3 linked regions of the Mus musculus genome follow. The protein of the gene in region 3 interacts with the protein of the main gene of each other region in a pairwise test. Links are inferred from orthologs where the notes say so. Each region holds a gene or a part of one and is shown on either strand. Other genes may lie near its edges. The genes, in order: Emd, Blk and Ccdc33.

Region 1 (4,978 bases), on a different chromosome or scaffold from region 3:
GAATCACCACAACAGCATTAGGAAGGTTGAGAAGCACTGATTTAAGAGATCAGGCATCCTACACACTTTTTCTACGCGTACCCCTTCTTCTAGATCTCTCCAATAAAGGGCAGCCTACCTAGATCCACATGACTTTGTGTAGAATATAATGGTCATGGTCACTCTTCAAGGCAACCTTTCTCTGATCCAGATCCTTAGTAAGCCTCCATCAATTCCCATGGTTTGCCTCTAGGCCAGCAGTTCAGAACCTCTGGGGTCGCTATCCCTTTGGATCTCACATATCAGATATCCTGCATAACAAATATTTATATTTTAATTTATAGCAATATTGAAATTACATTTATGAAGTACAACACAATAATTTTATGGGTGGGGAGTCACCACAACATGAGGAACTGTATTAAAGGATTGCAGCATTAAGGAGGTTGAGAAATAGTGCTCTAGGCTTTGTACACTTGTCTAGGTCTCTAAGGTCACACCAAGCTTAGAGACTATTCTACTCAGCCAGAGAAGACCTCTCCCCCCAGAATTCCTCAGGGCCCAAGGTAGAACAGTGAGTATGGCAGGTACAAGGTGTACAGATCTACATGCATCACAGGGCAGGCAGGCAGGCAGGCAGGCAGGCGCCCTCTGATTGTGTGCATTGGCATACCCTGGACCTTTGGAAAGCTGCTTGATCCTGTAGTGCTGGTGGCCACTTGGCCCAGTGCTGGCCCCATTTCCTCGCGAATGGAACTAGGCATTAGAGAAGACGACGGTGGGAATGGGCCTGTGCAGGTGTGCAGGCCAGGGTCATGGAGACTGGGAAGACCAAAGGAGATGGGTAGGGAGTGCCAGGGCTCTGTGGGTGTCTATGTTAGGTGATGAGAGCCCTGTCTGACAGCATACAAAGAGCTCTCAGCAGCGTTAGGCGCTCTGGAAGGGTTCGCTCTCAGGATTGCTTTACACTGCTGTGGATCACACTGTGGCTGAGAATCCTAGGCACTGGAACACCGGGGGAATAAAATCAGGAATGAAGCCAGTAACAAAAGTATGTGAGATCTCACAGGTTGGGAAATCTCACAAGCCGGTTTTGGTCAAATCACTTGCCTCATCCCTAGTAAGTTGCGCTCTAAAGCATCCTCTAGTGAGGTCAGCCAGCTCCGCCCCTCGGCGGCCTAGCTCTCAAAGGAAGTCTCAACCGCTGCCGCACGAGTTCTGAAAGCTCCGCCTTCTCCCTGTTCGAGCCAATCTCTCACAAGCGTTACGTTTCTGTTTGCCAGCCCAGCCTGTTCCCTCAGCTAGACCGGTCTGCACCGGCCGTTCTGGCTAGTTTGGGCCTGCCCTGAGGAGCGCGCGCAACCTGCGTAGCCGCGGCTGTGACGCAAATGTGACGGCGGCGTGACGCGCCCACAGCCGCTCTTGAGGCTCTGGCGCTTCTTCTTCTAGGCTCCGAGCGGTTGGTTTCTTGGGCCCTGTCTGTAGGCCCCGGCCGCCCCTGGCGTTCAACACCGCTTCCAGGTGCCGGCCTTGTCTGCCATGGACGACTATGCGGTTTTGTCCGATACTGAGCTGGCCGCAGTGCTACGCCAGTACAACATCCCTCATGGGCCTATTGTGGGTATGCTGCACCCGGTGGCGCTCAGAACCTCTCTTGGTCCACTGCTTTCCCGCGCTCCTCCCTGAGCGTTCTCCCCACCTCTCCCTCCCCTCAAGTCCCCTCCCCGTGTTCCCTTGTGCTCTTGGGGTGCTCGGCTCACGCCCTCTGACCGCTTCGCACCCTGTGTCTGGGCAGGTTCCACTCGCAAGCTCTACGAAAAGAAAATCTTCGAGTACGAGACCCAGAGAAGGAGACTCTTACCCCCCAACTCGTCATCTTCTTCATTCTCCTATCAGTTCTCAGGTGAGCCCTTAACTGCAGAGCCCCAAAGAGCAGCTTGGGGCACACGTCTTAGGGAGGGAGGGTGTGGCCGAAGCTATTGAGGGAGTAGGGGGAAGGCTGGAGATCGAATGGTCCTGTCCCTCCTCCTTCACATGCAGACTTGGATTCAGCCGCCGTGGACTCAGACATGTATGATCTGCCCAAAAAAGAAGACGCCTTACTTTACCAGAGCAAGGGTAAGGCAGGTATAGGGTGGGCACTGATGTTTTTATCCCATGCTTCCGGGATTTGGGCACAGGGAAACCCCAGACCTCCCTCACCTCCTTGTACCAGTTCTCAGTGGCTTCAGAGGGGAGAAACTGACACAGCACACACAGGCTGGGGAGGGAGAAGAGGAGGCCAGTTAAGGGGCACCACTTTTTCCTCTACCACTGTTTTCCTCCCCAAGACTATAATGATGACTACTATGAGGAGAGTTATTTGACCACCAAGACATACGGGGAGCCTGAGTCTGTGGGCATGTCCAAGAGCTTCCGCCAGCCGGGGACCTCACTTGTAGATGCTGATACCTTCCATCACCAGGTGAGTTGGCTGGTAGGTATACCTGGGGTGCAGCCTTAGGGAATTCTAGGTTTGGATAGGTGCAGAGAGTGGATCTTAGGCTTTCAAATCTGGTTAGGGTCAGCATACAGCTGTCGGGTTAAAAATTCTATGTTGGAACCTTCAAAACTATTGGATTTGGGGATGCTCAGCAGAAGAGTATTTACCTATGGTTTCATCTCCAGCAGCACATAACAAATGTTTTGGGGTTTTGGCTTTTTTAAAAGATTTAATTACTTTAATTATACATATGTGTGGCCAATTTTTGTTAGTTTGTGGGTATTTCCCCCCCCCCACTTCACCCCCAGTAATGAAAAATTCCCAGAATTCCAAATATCACACAATTGTAGAAACTATCTGAAACTCACAGAAACACACCTTTGCTAAAAGCATGAGGCAACTCATAGTTAGCTGCTGTGAAGCAGCCCCATATTCCACACCTAAGATTAAAACAAAAACATATTCTTACAATATTTCTGTGTTTCTTAAAAAAGCCAAAATTCCAGAATTCTCACATACATGTCTGTGGGTAGTATGCATGAGTGCTGGCACCTACAGAGGTGAGAATTGTCATATTCCCACTAGAGCTAGAGCTACAGGTAGTTGTAAACTGCCTGATGTGTGTGCTGGAAATTGACCTCAGGTACCTAGGAAGAATAATATGTGCTCTTAACCAGTGAACCACCTCTTCAGCCCACAAACTTTTTTGATCAGAGAATATGTAACAGCTCCTGCACTCTAGTAATTAATCTACGATATAGATTTAAGCCTCCTGAGAATCCAGGGGAATAAAAGGATGCTGGAACAAAGTCAACAGGGTTAGTAACTGAGCAGCAAGGCCCCACAGATAAAGAGGCTCCACATACTCAGAATGGGGGAGGGGGGGGCAATTTTCTGGTCCCTATGATATGATTAGAGCAGGCTAGCCAGAGACATTTAAGGAAAACCATTCTTCCCCATTTCTAATCCTAATTATTCTGCAGGTGCGTGATGACATTTTCTCTTCTTTAGAAGAGGAAGGCAAGGATAGGTGAGTAGTGAACATATGTAGGGACAGGGACAAATTCGAGTCTCAGACTCTCCTGCCTACCTGTTGCCTTCTTTTGCCACAGGGAGCGCCTCATCTATGGCCAAGACAGTGCCTACCAGAGCATCGCACACTACCGCCCCATTTCCAATGTCTCCAGGAGCTCTCTGGGCTTATCATATTATCCTACATCCTCCACCTCTTCTGTGTCCTCCTCTTCATCTTCTCCCTCTTCATGGCTTACCCGACGTGCCATTCGGCCAGAGAAGCAGGCCCCTGCTGCTGCTCTGGGCCAGGATCGACAGGTCCCACTCTGGGGCCAGCTGTTACTCTTCCTGGTCTTTGCTGCCTTTCTGCTCTTTGTTTACTATTCCATACAAGCTGAAGAAGGCAACCCCTTCTGGATGGATCCCTAAGGGTATTGGTTTTAGAGCAGCTCTTACCAGGAGTTTTGGCTGATTGCCTTATCGGTGTTTGCTGGGGGTGGGGAGGGTAGGGGCTTTTTTGTGTGTTCTAGTTGGGTGCAAGGTCTAGCCTAAGGCAATGCTTGTCTCCCACCTCATCCTGCCAAGGAAGCAGCAAATGTTGGCCTTCTACAGCCCAGTAGGCCTACCTGTACCTTCCTCTGGAGCCTCCTAGCCCTATTGCCTCTGACCCTTAGGGTACCGGGGTCTGGTGGGAGGACCTCACTTCATTAGAGGAAAACTTGGTGGTGGCAGTGGTAGTTGTCATGCATGCCTGTTTGTTGTCACCTTTTCAGGGGGTATTAACAAAGACCACCCTGGCTTTGCTTTCATGGACACAATAATAAACATGTTTATTTTTACCTTGTTGATTCTTCCTACTGGGATAGGAGCTGGGCTGCCATGGCACAGGTGGTTGGTTTTAGGTCTCCAAACTCAATGTGGCTTTTCCCTTTGGTTGTGCTTGGCCTTGGGGAAGGAAACAAGTGCTACCCACAGATAAGTCTATGTTTTGGTTGTGGGCTTTATTTCTGGGCCTACTTCCTGAAGTTCTTATAACCACCTAGAAAAATAACTACCGTGTAATCAAATGTGTGGGTAAGCCTATGGGAAATGTAGGCAAAACCGCATGTGACAACACATTCAGATACTTTAGTCGGGAGAGGCTAACACCAACATCTGAGGTTACAAGGATAGAAAAGAAATGAGGCATCTTGCCAGTACATTGTTATTCAGCTCCTGGGATTGGTGGCATGGTGGTAGAATCAAAGACTACAGTGCACCCATGGGTATCCTAACTCTTTGCCTGTTTATTCTTGCTCAGTTTCCAGGTTTTCTTTGGAGATAATCTTTTTGTACACTGTGTTAAAATGTTTCTGTCCTTCCTCATCTGCCTAAGGTACCTACTGTAAAAGAGCTAAATGGCGAGACTTCCTGGGCAGAGAGAAGGACTCTGGGAAAGTATCAGAGGCCAGAGGTTCGTCAGCCAGACATGGAGAAAGAAATAGGTGACTGGCACTGAGGAGC
Region 2 (4,804 bases), on a different chromosome or scaffold from region 3:
TTCGGATTGGGATATGGAAGGATCTTTGTCCTGAATAAATTTGTGAACATAGGGAACTTCCTTCAGTCAGTGCGGGCAAATTGCGACCCCTTGTGGGTTCCAGCATCACCTGGAAGGAGAAAGGCCCTCCTCCCTGAGAGGAGTAAGTCAGCCTTTGATGTCACCTCTACAGCAGACCTGGGGAGAGCCATGGGGAAGTCACACAGAGCCAGTTTTCCTGAGAAATAATATCCCTCAGTAGCTCACTCAGCTCAGCTGCCAAAATCCGGATCCTTGGGCAGTCATCAGTGCCAGCTGGGAACATTGAAATACAAAGCCACGGGTTGTGGATAGGGCTTAGGGGGAATGCTTGCCCGGCGCACATGAGGACTTGTATCTGAATCCTCAGTGCTCATGTAAAATGCCATCATGAGCGTGGGTGCCTGTAACCTTGGCATGAGGGGAGACACTGGGGGATTCTGAGGCCAGGAGGACTATTCTGTATAATTTGGGCTTGATGGATCCATCATCTTGTGCTTTGGTGGAACACGGAGTATAGGTAGGGTGTGAACCCAAGTGTGAAGTGTGTTGATCCCAGCCCCTCTGGAGGAGCAAGTGGGCTCACTATTGCAAGGTGCTGACATCTAAAAGGGTTGAGGGTTTATGGAGACTGGACCCTTTCTACTTATTTTTCTATAAACTTATCCCCCCACCCCACCTATATAAACAAAACAGGATGAATGGGAGACAGAAAAACAGGCGAGAGAGCCTCCACACTTGGGGAGATCACCGCCCCATCTCATGGCTTTCTGTCCATGTTCTAGGGAAACTTGGAACTCAAGGTGCTTGCGTCCATGGAGTCCCAGATACAGGTTTGTGGGGTGAGATCGCCACCTGCTGGCCAGGAAAGACAGTGTCAGTCACACCCAGTGTCCTTTGCTGAGGAATGGGGTAGGGTTGGGGCAAGGTGCTCCCCACCTCCTACACACATCTCGTGTGCCACATCTGTTCATGTCACTGGTAAAGACCAGGGGAAAGGTACAATTCTCATGACTTTATTATAGAAAAGTCCCAAAGTGTGCATGCAGGGATGGGTAGGGGGCACACAGCCAGGGGACCTGGAGGATTGACCCATAGTTCTGAAGCAGCAGACAGGGAGGCACTTGCTGATGAGACTGAAAAGGTGAGAGAAATGGGAGCTCTGATTGCACTCTGGGTTATGACAGCCTGACATCCTGTCCATCGCTAACTGGTCAGACTGATTTCGGGACTATCGGGGTCTGAACACAACTGGAGGTAAGTTCTAACACAATCCTTGCTCATTTTACATTCAAGGAAGAGACGACACAGAGCAGCAAAGTAACTTGGCCAAAGGCACACAGCCAGTGAAAGGTGGACCGAGGTTGTGCCTTGAGAGCTCATGCCTCACCATGAAGCCATCTTTGTCTCCTGGCTCCCTCACTTGAGAAGCAGGCACACCATTCTTCCCTGATTCTGCAACCTACCTGGAAGAAGAGCTAAGTGTGAACATATTAACCCAAAGTCAGAGTCCAGAAGGAGGCTCAGGCTGGGAGCCCTGAAGAGACCATTGGTTGCTAGGGCTGCAGCTCATATTGGCCCTCCGTGGCTGTGTAGAAGTCCTCCAACACCGACTGCAGGAACTCAAAGGTAGGCCGCTCCTCTGGCCGGCCCCGCCAGCACTCAGTGATGATATCATTGTACAACTCCGGTGGACATGTCTCCGGGCATGGCATTCGGTAGCCGTGCTCCAGGCTACGGATGACCTCAGGGTTGCTCATTCCTACAGGAGGGCAGACAGGGAGCTTCAGGGCTGGTGGTGCTCCAGGAGTGCAGTCACTGGCCCTGAGGGCACTAGACTAGGCCCTGACCGGCACTAGAAGGGAAAGAGTGGGCTCTGATACACTATGGCTAGTGTAACCCTGGAAGGTCACATAGGTGCCAGGATCGTAGTACTACTTTGGCTTTTCACACAGGTCTTCTTGTATAGGCCAGACTGGCCTTGAACTTGAGATCTGTCTGTCTCAGCCTCCCAAGGGCTGGAATCACAAGCTTGAGCCATTACACCTGTCTCTTACGCCATCTAATTCCACCNTAATCTCCATCTCCCTCTCCCTCTCCCTCTCCCTCTCCCTCTCCCTATCCATNTACNTCCCCCTCTCCCTCCCCTCCCCCTCCTCCTCCTCCCCCTCTCCCTCTTCCTGTGGCCCTGAGCAGTGTGCAGAAGGAGAGGAAGCCCACAATGCAGGGCTGGGCTTCAGTCCCTGTGACAGGACCCTGCTCTCACCAGTGTGACATACCCACAGTCAGTGAGCCTGGCGAGTCACCATCAGGATGTCCCAGGAGGATGGTAGGAAGGACAGGGACAATGCCTACCTGGGTAGGGAACGCGCCCATAGGTGACAATCTCCATCAGCAAGACTCCGAAGGACCACACATCAGCCTTGATGGTAAACACCCCGAAGTGGATGGCCTCCGGGGCGGTCCACTTGATGGGGAACTTGGCCCCTGCCAGGAAAGTGCAGTAGCTCCAGGGACAGCCAACCATCTACCCCCAACCCACAGAGTCCTGCCCCTATCTGCCCGTTCCCACTGGAGGGCCTGCAGGATGTGTACACTGGATACATGAGGATATAGGAAGACACAGTCACTTGCTACTATCCTAGGAGTTCTTAAAAACAGTGTTGATGTCCCTGGGTGGTGTGGTGCACACCTTTGATCCCAGCATTTAGGAGGCAGAGGCATTTGGATCTCTGAGTTCAAGGCCAACCTGGTCCACAGAGTAAGTTCAAGGACAGCAAGGGCTACATAGAGGAGCCTGTCTTTGAAAACCAAAAACCAAACCAAATCAAACCAAAAAAGCAAAAACAAAACCAACAACAAAACCAGTACCACCCATATATGCTTCCATCTGACTTACTGTTTTGTTTGATTTTGATTTTTTGGAGACAGAGTCTTGTGTATATCCCAGACTGGCCTCCAACTAGAGCGTACGTAGCCAGGGGTAACCTTGAACTCCTAATCCTCCTGCCATCACCTTCCACTGTGCTGGGATCACAGCCATGCACCAGCATGCCCCATTTATACTCCACTGAATATGAAACCACGGGCTTCATGCCAGAGAGGCAGTCTGCTGACTGAGCTATGTCCCCAGCCCTGTGCATGTCCATCTGGGATGGAAGCATCCTTTCCTATCTCACTCGGCCTTGTCCAGCGGCAGGGACCGTGGTATGGGCGGGCTTCAGTCCGTGCTTTCCTGCAAAAGGCAAACCTGACACTCAGACAGACACCTCTGAGGGCCACTGTGTGGAGGGATAGCAAGGCCCATCTCAGTTCAGACCGTGATGGCTACAGCCTTGGTTGGCACTGAGAGCCAACCTCAGGCTGAGGTGGCATTGGCCACCTCCCCCCTGATGGTTTCACTGTCTGGGGAGCCAGTTGGAAGTCCCCTGAGGGGGTTATCGGCCCCTAAGATGTGGCTCTCCTCCTGAATCCACTGATTAATGCACTAAACCAGTACTGCTTGCTTGATCAATGTACCAGAGTCCTCCTGCAAAGTCAATTTTCCTCACTCACAGTAAGAGAAGAGCATCCATGCAACCCTTCGGGTGCAAGGGTTGGATGCTCATGCTTTAGTTAGAGCTGTGTTTTCCAACCTGTGCTCCCTGACACCCTCCTTCCACAGGAGGATTTTCTCAACTTAGTCTGGGGATCAGAGGGTGAAACAAGGGGAAGAAAGTGCAGGTCTTCTCCTCCATCCTTCTAGATTTATATGCACTGGAGTCTCCAGGATGGGGAGGAGATAGCTGAGCATTCCAAGGCCATTCTGAATGAAGACTCCCAAGGGGCTTGAGTTGCTTCTCTGCCACCCCCTCCCATCTAGGGAAAGGAAGTGCTGAGCTGGGTGGGAAAGGACCAAACACAAGGACCATGGGTCTCCCTAGTCATCTCCAACAGCAAGGAGACATTCAAGGGGGCTCCAGAGAGTTGAGACGTTCAAAGGCTTTCGTGTGTGTGTGTGTGTGTGTGTGTGTGTGTGCGTGCGCGCGCGAGTGTGTGTACACTCACACACTCTGCTCACCCTCTTGGGCAGTGTATTCACTGTCAATGATCCTGGCCAAGCCGAAGTCAGCGATTTTGCAGCACAACGTCTCAGACACCAGGATGTTGGCTGCCCGCAGGTCACGGTGGATGGAATTCATGCGCTCTATGTAAGCCATCCCCTCTGCAACCTGAGGGGACAGGTCACATGGTGAAGGGCAGCAAGGATGGAGCCTACCAGCTCATAAGGCCAGCTTCACATGCCCTGCCCAGGGGAGAGAGAAGGTATCCACCCCTTCCCATGAGACCAACCCAGACTCAGGGCAGCAGAGAAGCTAGGCTGACATCCCCAGGCCTGTCCCCCTTTTTCAGACAATTGTCTCCAAGGTTCTGTGGACTGGGAATAGCAAAGAAGGCTGGGGTTGTAGATAGCCTCTAATGAGACAGGGAGGAGAAAGGACGAACAGGGCATAGCACGGAAGGGCAGGGCTACTCCCTCAGTGGACACTTCTCTCAGAGGAGCCAACCATGCCTTGGAATCACCAATGTCCAATGGGCTGGGTCACTTCCCTGAGAGGTCATAGTTATTACCCAGAGCACGAGAAGCCATCTCTGGGACCCAAGGTTAGGGTCAGTGTTGAATAAGGTGACTGTAGCTGAGGCCCTGCCCCTGCCCCTGCCCCTGCCCCTGCCCCTGCCCCTGCCCCAGGTGCTCCAGAGGAGCAGACTCTCACTGAAGAGGAGCCTTGTCTGTCCCAAGCACCTG
Region 3 (4,878 bases):
ACACATGTCCCTGACACCAAATTGTGTGTGTGTGTGTGTGTGTGTGTGTGTGTGTGTGTGTTTGTGTTTGTGTGTGTGGTCCCAGGTTCAGGGTCCCAGTTAGCACTCTGTCTGAAGATACCAGATGGGCATAGATCTGGGGAAGCCAGAACAGATGCTAGGGAGATAGAGCCAATACTGGCACCAGTCAGAGGGACTATAGCCAGAAGGCTAGACAGCAGTGGCAGATGACTGGTGGTGTCCGATGAGTTCCTGCTGGCTGGGGACTCCCCTCCCCTAGAAAGCCATGGCACACCATGCAGCAGGTGGGAGACTATAGCTGGGATATAGTTGGATTCCGCCCCCAGGCAGCTGGAGACCAGGGGAGAGTTGGATGTAGAGTTGTGTTTTCTGGATCCTGGGAGGCCCACCCACAGGAGCAAGGCATCCCACAGCCCAGAAGTCCACAGGCAGCTCAGAGGGCTCACTTGCCTCCCATCTCTGAGCCGTTCTCTTCCAGAACCTTGCTTGCCTGTATCTCAGATCTCAGTCTCTCTCTCTCTCTCTCTCTCTCTCTCTCTCTCTCTCTCTCTCTCTCTCTCTCTCTCTGTGTGTGTGTGTGTGTGTGTGTGTGTGTGTGTGTGTGTGTGTGTCTACAGATACTGCATGCTTGGAACTTGTGCTGAATAGTAAAGAATATGGTTGGCAAACAAATTCAGGGCTGAAGATAAGGCTCAGGAGTTAAAGTACTTTTCTTGCAAATGTAGGGTCTTGAGTTTGAGGCCAAGCACACATGTAAACACTAGGTACAGTGGAGTGTTTGTAGTGCTAGCATGAAAAGGGGAAAACAGAAAAAAAAAAAAAAAAACCTAAGGACTCACTGACCAAGCAATCTAGTCTAACTGATGAGCTCTGGGTGGAGGAAAACTTGCACTGTTTCAAGGACTGGATCTCTTTCCTGAGGTTGACATTCAAGGCTGAGCATCCACAGGCACCCACACAGGCACCCACACAGGCACCCACACACACAGGCACACACACACACAGGCACACAGGCACACACACACACACAGGCACACACACAGAGGCACACACACACACAGGCACACACACACACAGGCACACACACACAGGCACACACACAGGCACACACACACAGGCACACACACACAGGCACACACACACAGGCACACACACACAGGCACACTCCCCCCCCACACACACACACAGGCACACACACACACAGGCACACACACACACAGGCACACACACACACACACAGGCACCTCACACACACACAGGCACACACACACAGAGGCACACCCCCCCACACCCCCACACACAGGCACACCCACACACGCACGAAATGCATATGAATTCTGCTCAGTTGCCCTGTACGTATATAGGCAGACTTAGTTGTGGTTTGTTTAAAAAAAAAAATGAGAAAGAGAAAAAAAAAAGGAAAAGGAAAAAGAAAACAAAGAACCAAACAGACTCAAAGCCCCATTCAGACCCTGACTTCACTGCCCATTACTCCTAACACTGAGTAGGTTGCTTGCCCCCTCTGGTTTCCTCGGTTTCTTCTGTAAAGTGGTTGTCCCATAGGCTTGCTGGGGGTTGAATGCAGATCAGCACCTAAAGCACTTAGCCGGAGGCCTGGCATGTGGGGGAAGCCAGGGATCATTAAGACTATGGTTATTGCCCTTCCAGACCTAAGTTGGCTTCCTGCCCCCACTCCCTGCATCTCCTCCATCTTATATCTGGATCCTGATCTTGGCCTTGAGATGTTACCTGAGTCTTCAGTGTCTTCTTGGTGTCTCTTCTTGGATGCTGGGCTATTTGGGAAGCTGATGGCAGTCCAGCCCCCAAGTGGCTCTGGTGGGCAGTCTAAGAGACTCCTCCTGTGGAGGAGTTGAGTTAGAAGAGGGAGCGGGAGAAGAGAGAAGGTGAAGAAGTAGATAGGATTTACTCAGGATCTAGAAACATGGCTCCATCCTTTTGAGACTGTTGCCTACAGGTTTCTTAACCCAATACCTGAACCCTATGTTCCCCTGGTATTACATGAATCAGTGTGGTCCCTGAGGAGACACATTTGTGTGGCCCTCCTAATACTCCCAGGAGAGATGAGGACCATGCCCAACCACTCTCTGGGTAATTGCTAGGGTTTGGGGGGGGTACAACCTGAGGGTGACCTTAAGAGTGACTCACTATGGGTGCAGATGTAGAGTGGGATCCTGGGGGGTTGGGCATTGGGTAAGGGTTCAGCTGAGGCTTCTGGGCTTCTAGGAGATGAACAATTACCGGCGGGCCATGCAGAAGATGGCAGAGGACATCCTGGCACTGAAGAAGCAGGCTAACATCCTGGAGGAGGAGAACGGCATGCTGAGGAGCCACCTGAGCCAGCAGAGCATAGAAGAGCAGAGCAGGGCGGAGGAAGAGAACCTGGGTGAGCCCCTGGACACATGCTGGGGCCCAGGCTTACTGTCAGGAGCTAGGGAGCATTCTCCAGATATTGTGTGCCCCATCTCCGGAGTCCCCTACCCCTCCCACTCCTCCCCCCTGTAGACACACTTGTACAACCTACCTAGCTATAATGTCTTAGGAGGGGAAACAGAAAATCCTGGGCCAAGCCCTAGAGCTGAGGTGCGCTTGCCTCTACCTATTCTTGAGCCAGCTTCTTCCCACCCCAGCAGTGTCCATGAAGCAGAAGCTACTGCTGAACGAACTGGATATGAAGAGGCTGCGAGACAGGGTGCAGCACCTGCAAAATGAGCTGATTCGGGTGAGCTAGGGTCGGCTGGACAGAGGGACAGCTCCTCCTCCGGGCACAGTCCTGGGAAGTATCTGGAGCAGAGAGAAAGTCCACAGTGGGGAGGGAAGCCGGCCAGTTCAGGCTTCAGCAGAATCCCACGTGTGCCCTCGTGGCTGGAGTAACTCTCATGGATCCCATGTGTGCCCTCGTGGCTTGGGGAACTCTCATGTACCCATTGGCCTCCACCCTGCAGAAGAATGACCGAGAGAAGGAGCTGCTGCTTCTGTACCAGGCTCAGCAGCCCCAGGCTGCACAGCTGAGGCGCTACCAGGACAAGCTGCAGAAGATGAAGGCCCTGGAGGACACTGTACGGCACCAGGAGAAGGCAGGTTCTGGGGCCAGCTGTGGAGGAGGGGCAGCAGCCTAGAAGTTGTGAGGTCTCAAGCCAGCCCAGCCTTGTCACCTTGTCACCAGGTGATCGAGAAGATGGAGCAGATATTGGAAGAAAGGCTCTGTGAGAGGAAGGAACCAATACCATCAAACAGGCCACAGGGGAAGCCTATCATGGGTGGGTTTGCTCCCCAAGGTAGATCAGAATAAATGACCTTCCAGCTTTTGTCTTGCCCTATCCCTCCTCCCCCCCCCCCAGTTTCACAAGAACCTTCAGAGAAGGGTCAGTTCTCTGTTATGTCTGTGAGCTGGAGAGAGATACCCTGAGAAATATTACTCTCACCTCTCTCAAGTACTGAGAGCTTCCATGGTGATCTGAGCCCTCTTCTATCAGGAAGCCCCTTAGTACACAAGGACAGTGTGTGAGCCAGGCAGAAAGAGACCAGACCTCTAAGGTTGAGGCCCTATGAACCACAGGGTCAGAGAGAGACATCCCCAATGGATGGCCTCCAAGGCTGCAGTCCCCAAGTCCTTGGCTTCCCCAGCTCTTAGCATCTCTCCTATTCTGCCTTCCCTAAGCAAACAGACAAGACCACTCTGATAGTATCCGTTTATTTTCCCCATTGGTGTAAACCACAGCCACCCACAACTGTCAATCAAAAATGGCTCTGATAAGCACAAAAGAATAAAATAACACCTTATCAAGTGGATCATCTCCCGGGCCATGTGAGAATGCTCTCCAAGTATCTCTGTAGTTCTGGCCCTGGGCCCAGTCTTCATGGATGGTTAGGTACTCAGGGGCTGGAAGTCTTTAGAAAACCATGAAATTCTCAGGGAATCTTATTCACCTGGAGTCTGGGTGAGTCTGCAGAGGGCAACCAGGCCGAAGGACCAGAGAGTGACCAGAGAGACAAATACAAGGAGAATCGAGCAGGGAGGGACATGGGGAAAACGTAGGAATCTAAACAGCCTGGGAGGACAGCCCGAGGGATATGGACCTGACTCTACTGGCAAAGGAGAGCCGTTGATACTGAGGCTAATGGGCACATAGAAGCAGCAAAGCCCATCTCGAAAGCACCTGTTCCTGTGTTCACAGCCTCGGGCATTCCTCTGGGCCCCGTGGGAGAGACCCTGGCTGTTGACCTTTACTCCATGCTGCTAGCAGAAAACACGAGGCTTCGGACAGAGCTGGAAAAGAACCGCCAGCAGTCAGCCCCCATCATTCTGCAGCAGCAGGCCCTACCGGTAAGAGCTGCCACACAGGTCTGGCTTGAGCCTGCCGGCACTGGTCAGCAGGTAGCCCACAATCATCCCTCGCATGAACCAAGTTGAAGATTCGGCCCAGAATCTGGGCTTCCCAGCACCCAACAGCACTGGAAACATTCGTACTAGGGCCTTGCTCTTGCGCTCCTAAGATAACTATCTCACCATTGTCTGCCATCCTGGGAGAGAGCAAGGCCCTGGATCACCCTTGACCCCTGAATCCTAACTTCACCTGCCACCTGACTTGCTCCCATCTGGACACCCTCCCACCATGGGGCCTCTCAGGACCTTCTGGGATTGGTGCAGCCTTGGAGAGCCCTTTTCCCCATCCCAGGTGGATCCCAGGGAGTTGGGAGCAGGTGGAGATTTGGCAGAAAGGCTACAAGACACAAATGGCCCGGGCCACCCCAAGTCCACAGAGACCCTGCCAGCACAGGTGGGTGTCCCAGGAGGCTACTCCACTGCCCAGGCTGCTCCAGGTGCCCCTGCTGTAC

Evidence for each region.
Region 1: the proteins of Ccdc33 (region 3) and Emd interact in binary tests that used the Homo sapiens proteins (3 or more experiments, as listed by UniProt). The two-hybrid records come from large-scale screens. The link is inferred for Mus musculus from reciprocal best matches to the Homo sapiens genes CCDC33 and EMD.
Region 2: the proteins of Ccdc33 (region 3) and Blk interact in a two-hybrid assay, tested with the Homo sapiens proteins (3 studies listed by BioGRID and IntAct). The two-hybrid records come from large-scale screens. The link is inferred for Mus musculus from reciprocal best matches to the Homo sapiens genes CCDC33 and BLK.

Annotation. Positions count from the first base shown.
Region 1 is NC_000086.7:74,253,434-74,258,411, forward strand, and holds Emd (emerin), read left to right. Parts: upstream 1-1,253; 5' UTR 1,254-1,518; coding exon 1,519-1,600; intron 1,601-1,774; coding exon 1,775-1,882; intron 1,883-2,019; coding exon 2,020-2,097; intron 2,098-2,309; coding exon 2,310-2,443; intron 2,444-3,444; coding exon 3,445-3,491; intron 3,492-3,573; coding exon 3,574-3,904; 3' UTR 3,905-4,460; downstream 4,461-4,978. UniProt on the Homo sapiens protein: Stabilizes and promotes the formation of a nuclear actin cortical network. Stimulates actin polymerization in vitro by binding and stabilizing the pointed end of growing filaments. Inhibits beta-catenin activity by preventing its accumulation in the nucleus.
Region 2 is NC_000080.6:63,371,818-63,376,621, forward strand, and holds the end of Blk (tyrosine-protein kinase Blk), read right to left. Parts: intron 4,230-4,804; coding exon 4,079-4,229; intron 2,506-4,078; coding exon 2,374-2,505; intron 1,781-2,373; coding exon 1,575-1,780; 3' UTR 1,020-1,574; downstream 1-1,019. UniProt on the Homo sapiens protein: Non-receptor tyrosine kinase involved in B-lymphocyte development, differentiation and signaling. B-cell receptor (BCR) signaling requires a tight regulation of several protein tyrosine kinases and phosphatases, and associated coreceptors.
Region 3 is NC_000075.6:58,031,103-58,035,980, reverse strand, and holds part of Ccdc33 (coiled-coil domain-containing protein 33), read left to right. Parts: intron 1-1,770; exon of another isoform or gene 1,771-1,880; intron 1,881-2,265; coding exon 2,266-2,425; intron 2,426-2,632; exon of another isoform or gene 2,633-2,669; coding exon 2,670-2,761; exon of another isoform or gene 2,762-2,984; coding exon 2,985-3,116; exon of another isoform or gene 3,117-3,205; coding exon 3,206-3,299; intron 3,300-3,464; exon of another isoform or gene 3,465-3,707; intron 3,708-4,217; coding exon 4,218-4,366; intron 4,367-4,718; coding exon 4,719-4,878.